Linked DNA regions of Sus scrofa. The protein of the gene in region 1 interacts with the protein of each later gene in a pairwise test. Links are inferred from orthologs where the notes say so. Each region holds a gene or a part of one and is shown in the gene's direction. Other genes may lie near its edges. The genes, in order: GOPC, RNF183 and FOSL2.

Region 1 (3,650 bases):
TCAGTTTTAGACATGTGTTTGAGGTGCCAGTGGTGCAGCCAAGTTATATCCAATTGGATATGTGACTCTGGAATTCTAGAGGGAACTCTGAATTGAAGGTATTAGGTAAATCCTCCTTTATAAAAATTAAAATCATGGAATTGATTAAGTCACTCAGGGAAAGTATATAGAAAGTAAAAAGACGTAAGGAGACTTTTACGGAGTAGGAGAAGAAGGACATGAATCACCAAAGGAAGAGCCTGAGGTAGGGCTGTCAGATACAGGGCATCTAGAAAAGTAGTGTAATAGAAAAGACAGGGTTTCAGGGATGGGATGTAATGAACACTATCAGCTTTCTGTAAGGTTCAAATAAGGTAGTGACTATAAAGGATTCATTGGAAATAGCCGTCTTGGTTACCAGTGACTGTAGGGAAGCCAGTTTGTGTGGAGCAGGTAGGGGCAAAACCCTAATTACAGGGTTGGAGTACTGAATGTGGGAGGCCAGGAAGCTATTGTAGCTAGGATTAGCTTTGTGTGAAGGTTAAGGAAAGATTGAGGGAGGAGAGTAGGTAAAGAAGATAATGGGTGATGGAGGAGTTTTTATTTGTCTTATTTTCTGTTTGTACATGGTCAGTATTTTAAAGCTGTATGAGGCTTGAATTAGGAAGTAGCTGAATTAAGAAGGAGCTTGTAGAGAAGGAAAGAGTATAGTTACCCAAGAAAGAATTATTAATGGAGCAAGGTCCTTTATTTAAGAGGTAGACTCCAGAACTCAAAGGAATGAAAAAGTAATTAATGATCCAGCTGGCATTTTGTTTTTCAGTTCTACAAATCAGTTGAAATGGATATAGATCTTTAGGATATTTTCCTATGAAGATAAAGTTACCTACTCTTACTTATTGAGGATATTTATTTATCAATTAATTCCTGGCAATAATTTCTTTTGTAATGTCCTTCAATTTAAAAAGAGTTGTAGCAGTATTAAAGAAATTAACAAGGGGGTGAGAAAAATCATCTGTACATTTCACCATATTAACAGAACAACTATTTTTGCTTTTCCATTTTATCTGTTAATGACTTTCTTAACACTGTACTGTGTATCTATTATAGGAAATTAATAAATATTTCTAAAAGCAAGCTGTAATACTATGGATTACTCTGTTTGGATTATTACTTATGTGGTACTAATTTTTTTCTTTTTTCACTCAATAAGGATCAAGACTCTTTAAAGAAAAGCCAAGGAGTTGGACCAATTAGAAAAGTTCTTCTTCTTAAGGAAGATCATGAAGGCCTTGGCATTTCAATTACAGTAAGAAGTAGTGCTTCCAGTCTCCTTTTCTGTAGTTATCTATTATAATCATGCCCCTTTTTTGGACATCATCGGGAAGTAAAGTATTCTGAATGTACTTTCTTTTTTGTTTGTTTGTTTGTTTTGTTTTTTGTCTTTTTGCCTTTTCTAGGGCCGCTTCCGCCTCATGTGGAGGTTCCCAGGCTAGGGGTCTAATTGGAGCTGTAGCTCCCGGCCTACACCAGAGCCACAGCAACAAGGGATCTGAGCCATGTCTGCCACCTACACCACAGCTCATGGCAATGCCGGATCCTTAACCCACTGAGCAAGGCCAGGAACTGAACCCGAAACCTCATGGTTCCTAGTCGGATTTGTTAACCACTGCGCCACAACGGGAACTCCTGAATGTATTTTCTAAATAACTGAATTTATCCCTGTGGGTACCAACACTTTCGTGTAAACCTTTTTTGAGGGGTACGTAAATATTCCTAATAACCGTGAAGTAGTAAAAGTATTACTTTAGAAATCATTGTTTATCTTTTTCATTATGACTCAAGTCATTTAGTTCTGTGCTGCCTGTAGGAGGAGCTTTTGGGAATTGATATGACTGTTTTCTTCTGTGCTAAATGGCTCCAGCCAGTACTGTTCCTTTCTCTAGAGTATTTCTTACTATCTCTTGTTTCATTTCTATCAGATTTCAGTGGCTCTTGGGTCCAGACATTCTTCTTTTTTAAAGTTGATGCCTTTACAAACTGTTGTCTTGGACAACATAAAATACATATGTTTAGAGTCATTTTGCCATTCAGTGCTTTGTTCCAGATGAATGAATAAGATGGCTTTGTATTTAGGTACTGCATAAGTTCATTGGCTTTCTGGCATTGCTTAATGTAGAAATGTTTCTTACAATAAAGAAATAATGGGTATTTATTGAATACTTCCCTTTTTGAATACATTTCCCTCAAAGAGCATTAAGTTTTAGTAGGAAAAATTAAGATATATACACACACAATTATGATTGCAAGCTAGAAAGTAAAATGTATCAAGTACTCATTTCAATGATTTTGCTTGCACATTTTTTCACATTTTAACACCTGTGAAATTGAGGTTCATATTGTAATTACTTTTGTGGTACATAAAGTAATTGTCTTACTATTCATAGTGACTTAGAGCTGATAAATTCTAATAGTGCTGTGGACTACTAGTACTTAAGATATTTTTATTTATGTTTAAGAGAGCTCAGCCAATTGGGTTGTAGGTTTGTTTTGGTTTTTTGTTTTTCAGTTTTGTTTTGTTTTTTTCTTTTGGCTCTGGAATGCATTTTAAGAAGCACATGTATGATATTAATCACTTTACTTAGAGGTAACTCTTTGATATTCATAACAATTTGATTTATCATTACTTAAGTAGCAAGTAGTGTTTCAGCATTTATAGAGACGGTATAGGTGCTTATTGGAATAGGTCTATAGGAAAATATTTATCAGAATAGTCTGACTACACAAAGGTGAACTAATTTACTGCCTTTTTTTTTTTTTTTTTTTCCCCCCTGGTTAGGGCGGAAAGGAACATGGCGTTCCAATCCTCATTTCTGAGATCCACCCAGGGCAACCTGCTGACAGATGTGGAGGGCTGCATGTTGGAGATGCAATTCTGGCTGTTAATGGAGTTAATCTAAGGGACACAAAGCATAAAGAAGCTGTAACCATTCTTTCCCAGCAAGTAAGTTCTCTTTATGTAACTAAAATTGGATCTATCAGTTGTTACCTTTTTGAATCTATTGAATGCCTTATACTTTCCTAGGAGGTTTCTCAGGTAGTAAAGTGTTTATATATAGATACTAGTTTCCTTTGACTTGAGCTTTTATAAAAGATATTCAACCAGATTTACTGGAAAAAATTTTTATTTGCTTTTCTTTACAGTTGTATACCTTTGAGTATGTTACTTAAGTTCTTTGTGCTGCAGTGTCTTTATCTGAGAGCTGTAAGGATTAATAAGTATGTTAATGTATATAAAGTGTTCAAAACTTAGAAACAGAACATCACTAATGACTAAAACACTGTACAAATATGAAGTGCTACAGAACAAACAGTACTAGAAGTGGATCAACTTTAAAGTCATAAATGTTAGAACTGAAGGGTCCTTAGAAATCATTTAGCCCAACTTTATTATTTAAAATAAGTGGACTAAGCTTCTTAGAAATTAAATGATTTACTCAGCGTTGCAGAACAAATACATTATAGAGTTCAGATTCATATCCAGGGATCATATTTCGTATCCAGAGTACTTAAGATGCTTTTTTTTTGGTTTTTTCCTTCAAGAATAGGGTTGACAGAATTAGAGAGGTGTTCATTAGTACATTGAGATGTTTGTTAGATTATCAGTGTAG
Region 2 (3,650 bases), about 210 Mb from region 1:
TTTTCCAGACCATGCTAGGCGAATCTAAATCCTGCAATCATTTCAGCATTTATTTTTCCATGCAATGTTGATATATTTAAAATGAAGGGATTAGATCAATAAGGGAGTGGTTAAGTAATTTCTGATACAGCCATTCAATGAACTATGATACAACCATTAAACACCTGAGAAAGCTCATTATATACTAATACAAAATGATGTCTCAGATACATCAAGTTAAAACAAGGTGTAAAACCATGTATACCATATGCACTTTAGTGTACAAAGGAGGAAAAGGAATACACAGACACCTCATCATAGGAGTTTGGTGTATTCATAAAGCTTCTTTGGAAGGACAGATGAGAAATTTATAGTATAATACCTTAATTTTCAGGGAAACGGGTAGTTGGGAGAAGAACATTTTCACTGCAAACTCAAACCTTTCACATGATGAATATGTAAATATATTACCATTTTTAAAATTAAAAGTGTTGGGAGTTCCCTGGTGGCCTAGTCACTAAGGCTCAGGTGTTGTTACTGCAATGGTCTGAGTCACTGCTGTGGTTCATATTCAATCCCTGGCCCAAGAACTTCTGCATGCTGCAGCATGGCCAAATAAATAACTAAAAATAAAAATTTTTAAATAAAATATAAAATGTTTAAAACAAAATAAAGGGACTAGGGCATTTGATTCCATCACCAGTCAAATGCATTTATTTGTTTATTCTCTACACTCCATTTAAATGGTCAATAAAGGAATAAAAAGAGGATGGTAAGTCCTGAGAATAGGAGATGGAACAAAAATGTATCTTTAGGGGAAGACAGTGAGGCAATGGCACAGATTTCAGAGCCAGATTTGCAGTCTGGCTCTTTTAAGTTGCTTCTCAAGAGCTCTTGGGCAAATAAATCCCTTACTCGCTTTGAGCTTCTGATTCCTTATCTATGGAAGAGTAAGGACAAGTCTTACTATATGTGTTCCATATTGTGCCTCTTGGGAGTGTCTGGAGGTCATAGGTCAGAAGCATTTACTAAAGCACATAGTAGAAAACTATCATTACTTTCAATAATAATAGTGGGGTTTTAGCTACTATTATTTTGTTTATTTTTTGAAAGCAAATTTCTGGTCATTTTATTAGAAATTGTTGATAATTTTGTCTTTTTTTTTTTTTTTTGTCTTTTTGCCTTTTCTAGGGCTGCTCCTGCGGCATATGGAGGTTCCCAGGCCAGGGGTCCAATTGGAGCTGCAGTTGCCAACCACGGCAACATGGGATCCGAGCTGTGTCTGTGACCTACACTGCAGCTCAGGGCAAGGCTGGATCCTTAACCCAATGAGCAAGGCCAGGGATTGAACCCGCATTCTCGTGGATGCTAGTCGATTTCATAACCCACTGCACCACAGTGGGAACTCCAGAGCTACTATTATTTTAATGTTTTTCAGTCTGATAGGAAAAATAGCAGTATCTTATTTAAATTTAAATTTGAATTTCTCTAATTGTAAATGAGGTTGAATAACTACAAATATATTCCATTTGTATTTCTTTTTCTGTGATTTGCCTGATCACATCATAATAATTAATATTTACTGCATGTTCCTGTGTACCAGGCACTGTGTTATGATCTCTGCATGCATTGTCTCATTTCACCTGCCAAGCAAATAGGTAAAATTATTACACCCATTTTCAGGTAAGAAAACCAATATTTGAGAAGTGAAGTTGCTCACATCTCCATTGCTAGTAAGTAGAGTCTGGATTCTGAGCGAAGACTTGCCTCTGACCCAGAAATCTGACTTGATTGGGAACCCAGGCTCTTCAGGTTTATGCTTAAACGAGTCTCCCCTGATTGTTTCCCTATTGGATTGTTTGCCTTTTCTTAATGTTTTACAAGCGCCCTTTGTATTTTGGTTGTAGGGCTCGGAATAGGGAAGGATCCATCCAAGCTGAGGAGCAGAAGTGACTTCAGCGGCGCCCTGCCTGCCCGCCAGCGTAAGGCAATGTGTGAGCCAAGGCGGTGTAGTCAGAGGGGATGGCAGGAGACCAGCCCAGCGCAGAACAGAGGCCTGCAAAGATGAGTGGACTTCGACCCCCTTAGAGAAAAAGCAAGAGTGACTCACAGGAGGAAGATGTAACCAAAGCTTCCAGGCTGTCTGTCCCCCGTAAGCCCAGACAGTCCAAAGTCAGCAAAGGGGAGAGGAGGAAAACCTGAGCTGGAGAGCTGGCCAAGAGCTGCCTGAAGACCATGCAAATGAGACCCGCCCACAACTGCCTGGAAACCAGGCCTGGAGAAGCCAGAGCCCAGAGCACAGGCTGCAGGGCTGCGTTCGGGAAAGGAGGAGGAGGAAGTGGGCGAGATTCCGAGGGTGCAGGTAAGGAGCTGGGAGGGTCTTGGAGGGTCAGGTCACAGAACCCAGCCGTCCAGAGAGGCAGCATCCAACAGGTGCACACCAGCCTGGGAGTCAGGGCTCCTGGAGGCAGCTTTCAAGCTCAGCCATTCTTTAGCTGTGAAGCCTTGGGCAAGTCACTTCACCCTTCTGAGCCTTGATGCTCCTGTGTATAGAATGGGTGTAAAAATATCATGCTAACTACTTATTGAGCATCTGCTGTGCTTTGCTGGGCACATAACACGACATTCTCCCTTCCTCGCAGCAAGTTCATAGGGTGGGATCATAAGCCTATATTACAGAGGAAAATGAAGCTCAGAGTGGTTAAGCCATTTGTCTAAGACCTCACAGCAAAGAAGTCTGGTTCCAAAACTGTACACTTTCAACTCCTGATCCTGCTTCCTTCAGAAGGTGTTTTAAAGGATCAAATGGTTTAGGCAGATGGAAAAAAGTTGTAAAAGGCAATTACACTGTCTAGTTGTAGGTTACCACACTTAAGACCCTGGCCGGGACTGAGGACCTTGGTAAACTGGGAAGTGCTGTAAAAATACTCGTTCTTCACCTCTCCCCTCTGGAGGTCAAAAGGGTTGCAGTGATGCTACAGACAGTTGATATTTGGCTGACTGACCCGCTCACAGGCTAAGGCTGTATACCCGTGGGGGTGGTATTGGGATGTCCTGGCTTGAGGGTGAGGGGTGGGTGGATAAGTGGCCAGAGTCTGAAACCACAGCAAGGCCTGAGGGGCCCATGGCAGATAAGGGCCCAGGTGCCGATGCAACAGTGATCTTCTCCTCTTGAATGGCCCTTTACAGCTTTGGCCGTGGAACTTTAGACAATGTAAGTCTGCTTTGTGGGGAGGGAGCTCTTGAAGGGTAGTAATACAGGCATGCTGCAGTAAAGTTAGAATTTTCAGATAAGACAATTAAAAACAAACCAACCTATAATCCTACCCCCAGAGATAACCTCTGTTGACATTTTGGTGTTTGATTTTCTAGACATATTTTCCATTGCACACATCTATTGAAAAGTTGGATTGGATTGTAATATGGTTTTATGACTGGTTCTTTTCACTTAATGACATGTCATGAACGTATTTCCATGCCCTCGGCATGCGGAAGTTCCTAGGCCAGGGATTGAACTGGAGCCAAAGTAGTGACACCACCAGATCCTTAACCACGAGGTCACCAGGGAACTCTGAGCAGAACCTATTTAATCAGGGTCCTCCTGCTATTGGATAATTGCCAGTTTTCAACTTTTCACCATCAGCGCAGTCTTTGATGGGCAACTCTCTCAT
Region 3 (3,750 bases), on another chromosome or scaffold:
CAACAGGCGCCGGTGGAACAGACCAAGGGCGCAGGGCCCAGGGGGGTGGGCGGGGGTGGGGAAGGGCCGGGCTGCCTCGGGTCCCCCAAACCGCGCTCACAGCGCTCCCACCCCCTCCACCTCCTTCCTTCCTCGCGCAGGGTGTGCGGCTGGCGTCAGCGCGGCCGGGAGCCCGGGCAGGGAGGGGAGTGCTGCGCCCGCCTCCTCCCGCGCCTCTTCCTCCTCTTCCCCCTCCTCCTCCTCGGCCCTCTCCCTCCGCCTCCCCTAGCGCTCCTCCCGCAAGGTGGAGTCTTGGGTTGACGTGAGGTACAGGGGCTGGAGAATAAAGAGTGGAGTTGAACTCGTGCCATTGTAGTGACTCATCTCGGGCAGAGCGCTGGGGCTCCGAGCGAACCAGCGAGCAAGCAAGCGGCGCTCGGCGGGGACAGAGAGAGGGAGAGAGAGAGGCGCGGACGGGCGAGGCGGGCCCGTCCGGGAGCGGGCGCCGGGGAAGGGGTGCAGGTCCGGGCGCCGGAGCCGCCGCAAGGGGAGCGGGCCCGCGTCCCTCTCCGCGTCAGCTCAGCTGGAACCCCACGGGCCGCGGGGCGGGCTGCCTTCACCTAATCAAGTGTCCCTGCCGCTCGAAACTCCGGCGGCGAGTCGGCCACAGGAAGTTTATTCTCAGCTCCTTTTCTAAAAGGAGGAAATAGAAGTTTCTCCAAGCGGGCAGCCTTTCTTTTCGCCTTTTTTTTTTTTTCTTCCTTTTTTGCCCTGTCTGAAATTGGGGGCCCCCAGACCTGGCAGGCTTGACTCGCCGGGCTCCTATTCTTTTTTTAATTTCCAATTTTTGATTGAGCCGGCGGTCCCGGCTGGGCTCTGATTGCGCGCGGGGGCAGGAGGGCGCGCGCAGGGGAGGGACCGAGGGACGCGCGGACTTTTTAGAGGGAGGGACCGGGTGGACAACTGGTCCCGCGGCGCTCGTAGAGCAGGAAAGAAGTGCAGCGCTCGGCGCTCGGGGGGCACTGTTCTCGGAGTGCCGCCGCCGAGGGGGAGAAGCCCGGGAGCGACGCTTAGAGCCCCAGGCGCGGCCGGCAGGGAGCCAGCGCGCAGCTGCCGGTGCGCGGCCGCGGCGAGGGCGGGGGAAGAAAAACACCCTGTTTCCTCTCGGGCCCCCACCGCGGATCATGTACCAGGATTATCCCGGGAACTTTGACACCTCGTCCCGGGGCAGCAGCGGCTCTCCTGCGCACGCCGAGTCCTACTCCAGCGGCGGCGGCGGCCAGCAGGTAGGTGCGGGCCCCGGGTGCACCTGGCGCCGCGGGTGGACCCCCCGCCTTCCTCTCGCCAGGACTGCCTTTTTTCCCCCCCTTTCTTTTCCCTTTCTTGATTTGGCGAGAAAATTCTTGCGGCCTCCATTGTAAGTTCTAGATTTTCATCTTGTCCTCCTGACACCTCCTTTAACCTTCCCCCATCCCCCGCCAACACTTTTTTTTTTTTTTTTTTTTTTTAAACTAGAGCGGCGAGTGGGCTGGAGAGCCAACAAACCCTCGCCTTCACACTACATCCTATACAGACAAGCTCCTGGAATTGCAGGGCCTTTTCCCCAGGACCCTGTACCTCTCTCGCAGGAACCCCGTGGTTAGACCCCCCTCCAAAAAAAATCTTTGCACCCACGGGCACCTCCCGACATCCAGGGACCTTATTCCTGCGAAAAAGCCCTCTCTCCTTCGGTCTTCGTTCATTTCTGAAAGAACTTGGGGACTGGGAAAAATGGGCTCCTTCAAGTAATCCGGAGCGAGGGCGAGGGTTGTCGCTCTGGGAATCAGGTGCGAAGGTCAGGAAGGAGGAGGTCAGCCTTGATTGGCTCAGGCTGCGCCTTTCTCCCCCGCGCCCATCCATCTCCTGTTAGGGTCACAGAAGGAGCCTGCACAGCCGACCAGAAGGGGCGCCTTGGGGGTCTGGGAATATCTGGGGCCAGGACGCCTGCAGAGAGGGGACGGTGGGGGGGCGGTGGGGGCGGTGGATGAGACCTCGCTTAGGCTCCTGGGTGGTTCTGGAAGCCGGAAAACAACTTGTTTCTAAAGCAGGCGGACTGGTTTGCACCAGAGGGATTTTGCCTGAGATCTGTGTGTCTATAAATACCGGAATAAATACCAGAAAGGTGCTGCTGGGTTGGTGGTGTTCGTGGGGTGCCTGCCCTCTGCAGCCACCACTCCCCCCCACCCCCCGACCCCCACTCTTGGGAGGGAGCTGGCTTAACCAACAAGGTTGCTGGAACCTGAAGCCCGCCTCGGTCAGGATCTGCAGAGTCTCTAGGCAAGTTGGCTGTCTCGAGTTGCGCTGGTAAGATGATGATGGCTTTGGCTTCTATAAGCCAGCCAACCAGGAGGGCCTGGGGTGGACTTCTGGGGAGGAGGGACCCTGAGGGAGAATAAAATGGAAAGGGGGCTCTCTTTGGTATCTGAAGAGGGGTCTCTTATTCCAAAGTGGTTCCCCATACCTGGTGAGTCCTTAAAATGGCTTTTCTGTGTCTTCTTTTTACCTGCCCCGGTGTCCCCTTTAGCACCCCACTGTAGAGAACCTGGTTGGTGCATTGAGGGTACGGTCAGAGCACCCCTAATACTGAGCACTAAGGTGATGCATTTCAAGTCTTGTCCCAAAGTGTTTGATTTTTGTTTGCTCTCCAGCCCCATTGGTGGTTTGTATTGAATCCAGATATCATTAAGCAGCGGGTGGGAGTCATTTATACCCATTCCCTCAGTCTCCATTTCCACAGCACCCCCCCCCCCCATCTCCGTTCTCCGATGGGAAGGGAATCTTCTGATGTCTCATCTGCTCTTTTGGCTGCTGTTTCTATGGCAGTCATCACTGAAATGTTACAACGTCGCCGCCTGGCTTTGCTCAGACCCTGGGGCCTGGATGGGAAGTCCGACCGGACATCAGTGCCCCGATTGAATAATCTGTGTCACTAGGGCTTTGAGCCCAGGATGCAAGCGGAGGCAATTCCCTGTTTTGGAAGAAAATCAGACAGGAAACCAGTGCTAGGAAGAAGGAAGAGAACTCAGTCCAGCAGAGTGTAATGGGGCCTCATTACCAAAGCAAAAAGCAGCTGTTGGCTAATTCCTAGCATGCTGCAACACATGAGGATTTTGCAATTAGTAATAACTGCTGCACGGGGTTCTTGCATATATGCTTGCCCATTCGGCCCAGCAGCTTGAGTGAGGCACCTTTCAAACCGGAGGGATTGGCAAGGTAACTCAGCTTTGGATGAGTTTCTTGGCCTGTCCACTCTTGGGGGGTGGGTGGGAAGAGGGGAGGGTTTTCCCATCATCTCTCTGACTTGGAGCAGAGCTGTTCTGTGGTCCTAAGGACTGACGTGAGAGGTTTTTGTTACTTCACAAGTCTGGGCTACGACCCCACCCAGGCTCAAGGTAACTTTATTACATACCAGATAAAACCTGTAATCACTTTATTTCTCTTAGCTTCCTTTACGGGGAGAGGGAGACTTTTCCTGGCAGTTAGGGATGGGCCCTCCTCCTCCAGTGGCGTCTCAGTGGACCAAACCATGTAAGAGGGGTCTCTGGTTTTACCTTGGGCGAGTGAATATTATTTTTTCCAGCTTGCTTTGTTGGTGGGGTCTAATATTCCTGAGCAGTTTGTTGCTGTCCACCCCACACAGGGCTTTCTTCTCCTCTCTCACTTGGTAAAGTTTGATCTTAACACATGGCCAGGAGTCCCAGGGACTTGGGGGGAAGGGGGTGCAGATAACTC

What was found.
Region 2: the proteins of GOPC (region 1) and RNF183 interact in binary tests that used the Homo sapiens proteins (3 or more experiments, as listed by UniProt). The two-hybrid records come from large-scale screens. The link is inferred for Sus scrofa from reciprocal best matches to the Homo sapiens genes GOPC and RNF183.
Region 3: the proteins of GOPC (region 1) and FOSL2 interact in a two-hybrid assay, tested with the Homo sapiens proteins (2 studies listed by BioGRID and IntAct). The two-hybrid records come from large-scale screens. The link is inferred for Sus scrofa from reciprocal best matches to the Homo sapiens genes GOPC and FOSL2.

The regions. Positions count from the first base shown.
Region 1 is NC_010443.5:44,273,745-44,277,394, forward strand, and holds part of GOPC (Golgi-associated PDZ and coiled-coil motif-containing protein), read left to right. Parts: intron 1-1,192; coding exon 1,193-1,288; intron 1,289-2,818; coding exon 2,819-2,983; intron 2,984-3,650.
Region 2 is NC_010443.5:253,932,157-253,935,806, reverse strand, and holds part of RNF183 (RING finger protein 183), read left to right. Parts: intron 1-1,886; 5' UTR 1,887-2,214; coding exon 2,215-2,341; intron 2,342-3,650. UniProt on the Homo sapiens protein: Acts as an E3 ubiquitin ligase catalyzing the covalent attachment of ubiquitin moieties onto substrate proteins. Triggers apoptosis in response to prolonged ER stress by mediating the polyubiquitination and subsequent proteasomal degradation of BCL2L1.
Region 3 is NC_010445.4:110,840,264-110,844,013, reverse strand, and holds the start of FOSL2 (fos-related antigen 2), read left to right. Parts: upstream 1-1,297; 5' UTR 1,298-2,322; intron 2,323-2,348; exon of another isoform or gene 2,349-3,231; intron 3,232-3,750.